Oryctolagus cuniculus: one gene and its partner. The protein of the gene in region 2 interacts with the protein of the main gene of each other region in a biochemical or structural test. Links are inferred from orthologs where the notes say so. Each region holds a gene or a part of one and is shown on either strand. Other genes may lie near its edges. The genes, in order: NR4A1 and BCL2.

Region 1 (3,799 bases), on a different chromosome or scaffold from region 2:
TGGCACGAAGCATTGTCCCCACACACGGCGCAGCGGCCCTCGCTGCCACCTGGAGCCCCACTCCGGGCCTTGGCTGAGGTCGCTGGCGCGTCCAGCATCCCCGAGCCGTCGAGGTGTGGGGAGGTGGGTACCAGGCCCGGGAAAGCCGCCGCTGGCACAGAGTAGCCCTCTCCCTCCCCGAGCTGGGGGGTGGCCTGCGATGGCGACGGGAACAACTTCAGGGAACTCTGGCCCAGGCCGGGGCTGGGACCCGTCGGGGGGCTGAAGGAAAAGAAGGTTGGTGGGGGCCCGGCAGCCTTGGGCAGCTGCTCTGTCCATGCCCGCAGGCCGTCGTAAGTCTGGCTGGGGGAGAAGTGGCCAAAGGAGCTGTCCCAGGGAGAGAGCTGGGGTGCCTGGAAGCTGGGCGTGTTTGGCGACGGGGCTGAGCAGGGGCTGCCGTAGTGGTCGGAGCCGCTGGACAGGGCATCATCGAGGGGGCCACTCAGGGGGCCAGGGTAGCAGCCGTACACTTGGAAGTCCTCGAACTTGAAGGAGGCAGAGGCGGGGGAGGTGGCCGAGGACGAGGACGTGGAGGAGGCCGAGGAGGAGGCCGAGGAGCACGGCTGAGCTGTTCCCGGCAGCTGGTAGAGGAAGGTGTCAAACTCCCCTGTGTAGCTGTCCATGAAGGTGCTGAAGCTGGGCAGGGCAGTGGGGGCTGCAGGGGCCGCCTCTGGGCTGGCCAGGTCCATGGTGGGCTTGCTGAGCTCGGGGCTCAGGGGGTCGCTTGCCAGGTGGTCACGCGGTCCTGGGCTGGGCACCGGAGTCCCATACTGGGCTTGGATACAGGGCATCTCTGGACAAAGAGGAGAGGGGAAGGACTTCCGTGAGCCAAGCCAGGCCCGGAAGGCTGAGCCCAGAGCAGCCAGGCAGCTGGCCTGGCCAGCGTCGCAGCCCAAGGAAGGGACACTGAGGCAGGAGGCCACAGTGCCCAGGATCCTGGACCCCCTGGCTGGGGCCCCACGTCCAACTCTAGCCACAAAGACCCCGGGCAGTGGCCCAGCGAAGAGTGGGATCTGTGGGAAGGCCAGCCACACCCAGCCGGCCTGGGAACCCCGGGCGAGGCACACAGCCAGCGTTTTTCTGCTGCAACAGGGGGAGCTGTGTTCCCAGCCCCCTGCCCCTCCCCAAGCAGGGAAGAGCGTGGGTGCGGGCTGGGAGAAGGGTGGGTGGGAGGGGCAGCCTGGCAAAGCCCCAGCCCAGCACCCCCAGAGCAGATCTGTTGCTGCTCTTCACCAACCAGGCACTTCCTGGGGAACATTCGCAGGCACACCCCAGCCTCTGCAGAAGCCCCTGCCTCCCGGGGCTGGGGGACAAGGACACTCTGGCAATGGCAGAGGAGCCAGATGGAAGGCAGGGCTGCCTAAGGAGGGAGCCCGGGTATAGATGCCGCTCTGGAGCCATCCGCACCCCGTCCCACGTACGGAGCACAGGCAGCCGAGCCCACAGGCACCCCAGTCCTGCCTGCCGTCTGGGGCTGGGCATGCGCTCTGGACTGCCTGGGATGCTCCCAGAGGCAGTGAGGAAGGGCGCCCAGGCCTCCTCGCCATGTCCCGAGGGGATCACGTAACCTGGCTCCCAGCCCTTTAAGGCCATATGTTCAAGGGAGGGGGAGCCGGCAGGAGCAGGCACAGCCCTCTGCAGGTCCAGAAGCAAGGGCAGTCCCTATGAGGAATTTCTCTGCTCTCCCTGGCTATTTGACTAAGAATTGCTAAGAGTCCAGTGGGAGACTTAAGGTGGGGGAGCCTGTGGGCGGATGGGTAAAGGGAAAATGCCTTCTGCCTGGGTTCGCCCCATTAAAGTCTGTGCCCTTAGCAGGCAGGCAAAGGGGGTCACGCACCCCCCAATCCTGAACAGCCTGACCCACAGAGCAGTCACAAAGCAATCCCAATAGGCTCCAGGACCCTCTCCGTCTCCACCACCGTGCCTGGGATGTGCCCACCTCTGTGCTCACCAGGCAGAGAGGCAAAACTGGGTAGGAAATCAAGCCAGAACACAGAGTACCATAATCAACGGGACAGCGATGAGGGCAGAGGCTGTCCCCACCCCCTGGCCACCAGCCCAGGAAGGCTGCTGGTCCTAGCCTTTCTTCTACCTCCCAGGACCTGACCAAGTCAGCTCCACCCCAGCCTGACACTCAGACAACCAACCCAGGCAGCAGAGCCCCTCGAAGCTCAAGTTCTATCCACCCAGTGGCACCCATCCACAAAAATACAGCACCTGCCCGATAAGTGTGGCCACGTTTGCCTTCCCGGGACAGCCTGGGCAGGGATGGGTTGGGGGTGGAGGAGGAAAGGCAGCAGCCACGCAGAACTGGGCGTTTGTTCCAGCCTTATTCAAATCCTGTTTCTCCACTGGGACGTCCCACATCCGGATCAACCCCCACCAACCCCCCCCCCCCGATACACACACATACACACCTTCATGCAGGTACTGAACACAAGATACGACTCACATCTAGCCTCCCGATTGGGGGGGGGGGGCAGGGGCAGGGGAGGGCAGTCCCACGGCAAGGAGGAAGAGGTGGGGTTGAAGGCGGGAGGGAGCGGGGAGAATCCGGCTTCAGGCAGGTTTTGGCAACAATATGGTTTGCACCTGTTAGACGAAGCAAGCCTCAGGCTGCACCCTGCCTGTAAGATCCAACCGGGACTACTGGGAGAGGGGGTGCAGAGGCGATCAGGAAGTAGACCTGGGAGGAGGGGAGGGTCCCCCAGGTAGCACCACACCAAAACTCCAAGGCTACTAACTTCCATGCAGGATCCCCCAGAACAAGCATGTCCACTCTGTCTCTCACAAATACACACACACATTCTCACTCCAAGCCACAGTTAAAACAATCTTGCAGACACCCTGCCCCCCTGTCCCTAAGCAAACTCACTTATTCCAACACGCAGCAGGCACAAGCACCCTCCACTGCCCAGCCACCAAGCTAGTAGTCTCCCTGGTTAAGAGACCTCCTAACGCAGCCCCCTGCAACTGAGCCCGCAGGAGCACAGGGCTGACAGGCTGGAGTCCGCCGACCCCCTGCAGGGCCCATCACCCGTAGCACCGAAGCTCTGGATACCTTAACCGCCTATAGCTAGATGCCCATCAGCGCCCAAGCCGAAAGCACCGTATGCCCACTTGGGTCTCCTCGGAGACAGAACTCAGGCCCGTCGCCTGCTGGACAAGTCCCCGCTCTAAGAGGCACTCCGACGCCTGTGGCTTCCACCTTGCATGTTCTACAGCCCCTCTCCTCCCGCCCCGTAGATTCCAGCCGGAGCTGCTGAGTCCTCACCCCGCTCCAACAGCTAGCCCTGGGCGCCCCTGCGCGCCTTTCTGCCCGCGCGTACCCCCGTCTCATCCCCCAACCCCGTGCACCAGCCCAGAAAACAGATGCACTTTACCCGCGGGGGGGCACCTACCCGGCCGGCTCCAGCTCGCCCTGCCCGGGACCCTCGGCCCGAGTCGCAGACTCGGTCCCGCGTGTGCTCTCGCGGTCCCTTCTGCACGCTCCCCTAACTTTCGCAGCCTCTGCCACTCGGGCTCCCCGGGAGCGCCAGACCCTCCTCTTAAGCGCTCCGTGACGCACGGGGAGGGGCGGGGGCGCCACTGACGCACGCGGCCCGGCGAGGTTTGGCCATACAAGGGCGCGGGGGGCGGCGCGGTTCCGGCGGGAGGCGGCCAGGGGGAGGCGCGGGCCCGGGGAGCCCGAGGGGGCGGGGCGAAGGGGGGGCCTGGAATGTCTGCGCGCGTGACGCACGCGGGGTTCCATTGACGCAGG
Region 2 (4,424 bases):
TTGTTTTCATGGCGTAGCTCCGGCCCGGCCCGGCCGCGTGCGGCCAGCCCGGCGCCCGTGGCCCACCGGCGGGCCCCGGCGACCCCCGAGCGCAGGCCGAGCCCGCCGCAGGCCCGGGGAGGCCCCTGGCACACCTACCGCGCCGCGGCCGCGCCACCCACCGGCCGGGCCCCGCGGGCGGCCGGCCCGGGCGCGCCCTCCCCAGCCGCGGCCCCGCGCGCCATGTGTGCCCGGCGGGCCCCGGCCGGCCGCGGCGCCTTTAACCGGGGAAGGGGAGCGGGGCGGAGGGGGGGGCCGTCGGGCGGCTCAGAGGAGGGCTCTTTCTTTCTTCTTTTTTTGAATGAACAGTGACGTACGTACAGGAAACCAGTCGGTTTGTGAGGAGAATGAAGTCAGCGGCCAGGCCCCCGCCCGCCCCCTTCCTCCCCGCCCCCGCCCCTCCTCCGCGCGCCGCGCGCCCGCCCGCCGGCCCGCCCGCCCGCCGCTCCCGGGGTCCCCGCCGCGCCGCCGCCGCCGCCCGCGAAGGTGCCCGGGCGCCGGGCCCCCCGCCAGCGGCCGTCAGAGCGCGGAGCTGCCGCACGGCGCGACCGGAGGAGGCGGCGGCCGCCGCCGCCAGCGCCCCGGCGCGGGAGCGGGCGGAGCAGAAAGGGTGCGCAGCCCGGAGGCGGGTGCGCCGGCGGGTGCAGCGGAAGAGGGGTCCAGGGGGGCGAACTTCGTAGCAGTCATCCTTTTTAGGAAAAAGAGGGAAAAAAAAAATAAAACCCTCCCCCGCTCCCCACCCTGGCCGCACCACACACGGCGCGGGCTCCTCGCGAGGCCGGCGCGTCCTGCCTTCATTGATCCGCAGCTTTTCGGAAAACGCGTCGGCTGCTCTCGGAGTTGAATCAGAAGAGGACCCCGCGCCGGCCGGGCCCCGTCGGCGTCCGGGGCAGAGTCCGCGCCGTGCCCGCGCGGCGCGCGCGCCTGTCAGTGGCCGAGGGGAGCCCGGACGGAGCGCGCTCCGGAGCTCGGGGCCGGATTCCTGCGGATTGACGTTTCTGAGGAGCAGAAACCCGGGGGCCAGCCTGGAGACCCCCCCGCCCCGGGGTGCCTACACCCGCGCCCGCCGCCTCCCGATTCATTCGGAAGTTTCCAAGCGGCTCTCACCCGGGAGCTCCGAAGATTGATGGGATCCTTGCCTTATGCGTTTGTTTTGGTTTTGCAGAGAAGGAAACTGGACAGAGGGTCATGCTGTCCTTTAAAAACACAAGTAAGTTCTTTGCGCAGCAGATCGGGCTCGCGTAACTTTCGGTGGCGGCACTCGAGATGCTAACTCGGAGTGCCTTCGAGTAAATGTGAATTTTCAGGCAGTTGAATGCGTTGTTTTTAGCCGTGTGGCCCGCAGCGTGCATGCCCCCGCTTTCTCTCCGTGTGTGCCGGAGAACGCACCTGAGTTTGGCTTAACCAGGTTTTGTTTTTGTTTGTTTGCCTTTTTTTTTTTTCCAACCTTCTAGCATCACGTAGGGAAAAGACTGGCGTTCACCACGCTTATGAATGATAACGTGCCTCGTGAAACAGAGATCCGAAAGGGATTTGAGTAAAAATCTCCTGCGCCTGCTGCCAACGGGGAAACACCAGAAGCGAGGGCTCCGCGTGACTGAAGACACCCCCGCGCCCGAGGATGCGGCGCGCGCCCGGGAACCCCGCCGGCTTCTGAGCGGGCCCGTGCGGCGGGACGCGGCCGGAGGCACCGCGGGCGCCCAAGGGCAGCATGGCGCACGCCGGGCGAACAGGGTACGACAACCGGGAGATCGTGATGAAGTACATCCACTATAAGCTGTCCCAGAGGGGCTACGAGTGGGACGCTGGGGACGCGGGCGCCGCCTCCGCGCCGGGCGTCTTCTCCTCCCAGCCCGCGCCCGCTGCGCCCCGGGACCCGGCCGCCAGGACCTCGCCGCCGCCGCCGCCGGCCGCCGCGGGGCCCGCGCTCAGCCCGGTGCCACCTGTGGTCCACCTGACCCTCCGCCAGGCGGGCGACGACTTCTCCCGGCGCTACCGCCGCGACTTCGCGGAGATGTCCAGCCAGCTGCACCTGACGCCCTTCACCGCGAGGGGGCGCTTTGCCACGGTGGTGGAGGAGCTCTTCAGGGATGGGGTGAACTGGGGGAGGATTGTGGCCTTCTTTGAGTTCGGTGGGGTCATGTGTGTGGAGAGCGTCAACCGGGAGATGTCGCCCCTGGTGGACAACATCGCCCTGTGGATGACTGAGTACCTGAACCGGCACCTGCACACCTGGATCCAGGATAATGGAGGCTGGGTAGGTGCCTGTCTGGTTGCACGTGAGTCTGGGCTTGCGGTCGCAGGTCCGAGATGCCGTGGCGAGGGTGTGGGTGGACCCCGGGGGCCGGGGCAGACTGCAGAGCCCGTGAGCTAACAGCAGGTGTGTCACTTTCCCTGCTTTCCCTCCAGCGCGCCCTGCAGGAAGCGCACCCTGCCCTCCCAGCTAGGGCAACTGCTTCCCGCCAAAAGTGGTGTGCCAGCCCTGGAGGCTCCCAGATGCTGCCTTTGCGGCCCAGTAGGATTTTGTGATGCATGGTCCTGCCTTCCCGTGCTTCTCAAACTGGGGCTGCGGAGTCCCCAGCACCACAGTTACGTGGCCTGGGTAGTTGAAATCGCAGGTTTCAGGGACTTGGTGTGGACCAGACACACCGCGCATCCCACGACCACCACCACCCCAGGGCGAGGCCCTGGCAGTCTGCATCCTAAACAGGCTCCCCTGGTGGATTTGTCTTTGTCCTAAAAGTTGTAAGCCACCCCATCGAAGAACAGACTCCCCCAGAGGACCAAGAACATGTTTGCCTCACTGGGTAAAAACTGCCCCAGAGGAAGCCCAGTGTAACCCCTTTCCCTGAAGGTCTTAGCTGTGTTTGTGAAGAGGTAAGTGGACGTAGGGAGAGCCGGGGGAGTGTTCACCTGCTGGTCGGGCCGTGACCCAGTGGACACGATGGTGTGCATTGAAGGGCAGCAGTCTGTGGATGCGCTGCGTCCTCTTGTCAGTGATGGGGTTTGGATTGGCTGCAGACTTTGTGTGCTGTCCCTTGTGTCGCATTTAGAAGTTTCCTGGAGTTTTACCATCTCTTACATTTTACCACCTAGACGCCACATGATTTTGTGGTCTCTGCTTACATACACCACACACACTCACAGAGAAACTTGCACCTAGGGAAACTATGTAAAGCGTAGAAGAATTGATCTTTAGCTGTGGATTCTTTCATGCGCTGACCAGGGTTGAAGTGATGAGCAGCTGTGACTTTTAAGAACCTTGGTAAGACGCTTTTTCTCCCGCTCCGGGGCGGTTGCTAGATAGAGCTTCGATCCTGTTCACCACGCAGTTGTATTTTTCCATGATGCTCTGGGACTGGGGTGCGGATCCCAAGACTCAACGGTGCTTAATTAAGATTTCCATCTCTTACCTAAAAGGATTAATTTATGAGAAAGTAATCATTCTTGTCTGGAGTTTTGTTAAACTTTGTTTTTAGTCTGAAGAGTTATCTTGGAAGAAGGATGCATTTCTGTGAGCTCTTCTATAGTCTCTTAGGAGAATGACTCACATTATAGAACCTAATGGGATCCAAAAGCCTAGACGTGACTGCAAGAAGCACATTTCTTCATTTTTGCTCCATTTTTCAAAGTATGCTAATATTAAGGGGCCAAAAAGAGACGGGGCCAAGAAATGTAGGTGATTGATGTGGACATCTGATATTATTTGACCAAAGTTGACAAAATATTGATGCCACTGTTCAATGTTTGAATGTAAAATTAACTAAAATATCCCAATTTAAATCTCTAAAATTTAATGACTCTTTATGGATTGTTTGTTGAAATCCCACATTATCAGGTCTTTAGTGATTCTGGAGTAATTTGCTAAAGGATGAAAAGAATATTTTTGTTAAGTGTTTAGTTAAGCAGCTGGTTTGATTTTTAATCACCATAACCAAAGAGGAAGGGACTTGTAGACTCCGCAAGGATCATTCTAAAACCAAAGTAAAACTGATTTAATAGGTCTCCTGGTTCCTATTTTTCATAAAAAAAAAAAAGAAATCCATATTAAAAAAAAAGTTCTGTCTAGTTGAAAGAAATCCATGGTGGAAACCGCCATGTATCAAGCAAGTTAATAAAGTGGTAGGAAACAGACACATGTTTATGATGGAGATTAAGATAGAACCTTGATGTTTGTTGTTGAGCTGCAGTATGTTAATGTCTCATACAACTGAGGTTTCCTTTTAAATGAGGGCTCACTTTTTCTTCCTTTCACAATAGAGTTTTCGTTGTAGAGCCTATCTTTGTGGTCAACAGGTATCTGAGGTCGATAAATGCACAAGCTACATTTTATGATGCCAAACCACAATGACATTCTGTAGCACATGATAAAAATTTTTTGACAA

Evidence for each region.
Region 1: the proteins of BCL2 (region 2) and NR4A1 form a complex in vitro, tested with the Homo sapiens proteins (2 studies listed by BioGRID). The link is inferred for Oryctolagus cuniculus from reciprocal best matches to the Homo sapiens genes BCL2 and NR4A1.

Annotation. Positions count from the first base shown.
Region 1 is NC_091442.1:55,366,782-55,370,580, reverse strand, and holds part of NR4A1 (nuclear receptor subfamily 4immunitygroup A member 1), read right to left. Parts: intron 3,695-3,799; exon of another isoform or gene 3,441-3,694; intron 833-3,440; coding exon 1-832. UniProt on the Homo sapiens protein: Orphan nuclear receptor. Binds the NGFI-B response element (NBRE) 5'-AAAGGTCA-3'. Binds 9-cis-retinoic acid outside of its ligand-binding (NR LBD) domain.
Region 2 is NC_091441.1:15,291,026-15,295,449, forward strand, and holds the start of BCL2 (apoptosis regulator Bcl-2), read left to right. Parts: upstream 1-1,613; 5' UTR 1,614-1,750; coding exon 1,751-2,296; intron 2,297-4,424. UniProt on the Homo sapiens protein: Suppresses apoptosis in a variety of cell systems including factor-dependent lymphohematopoietic and neural cells. Regulates cell death by controlling the mitochondrial membrane permeability. Appears to function in a feedback loop system with caspases.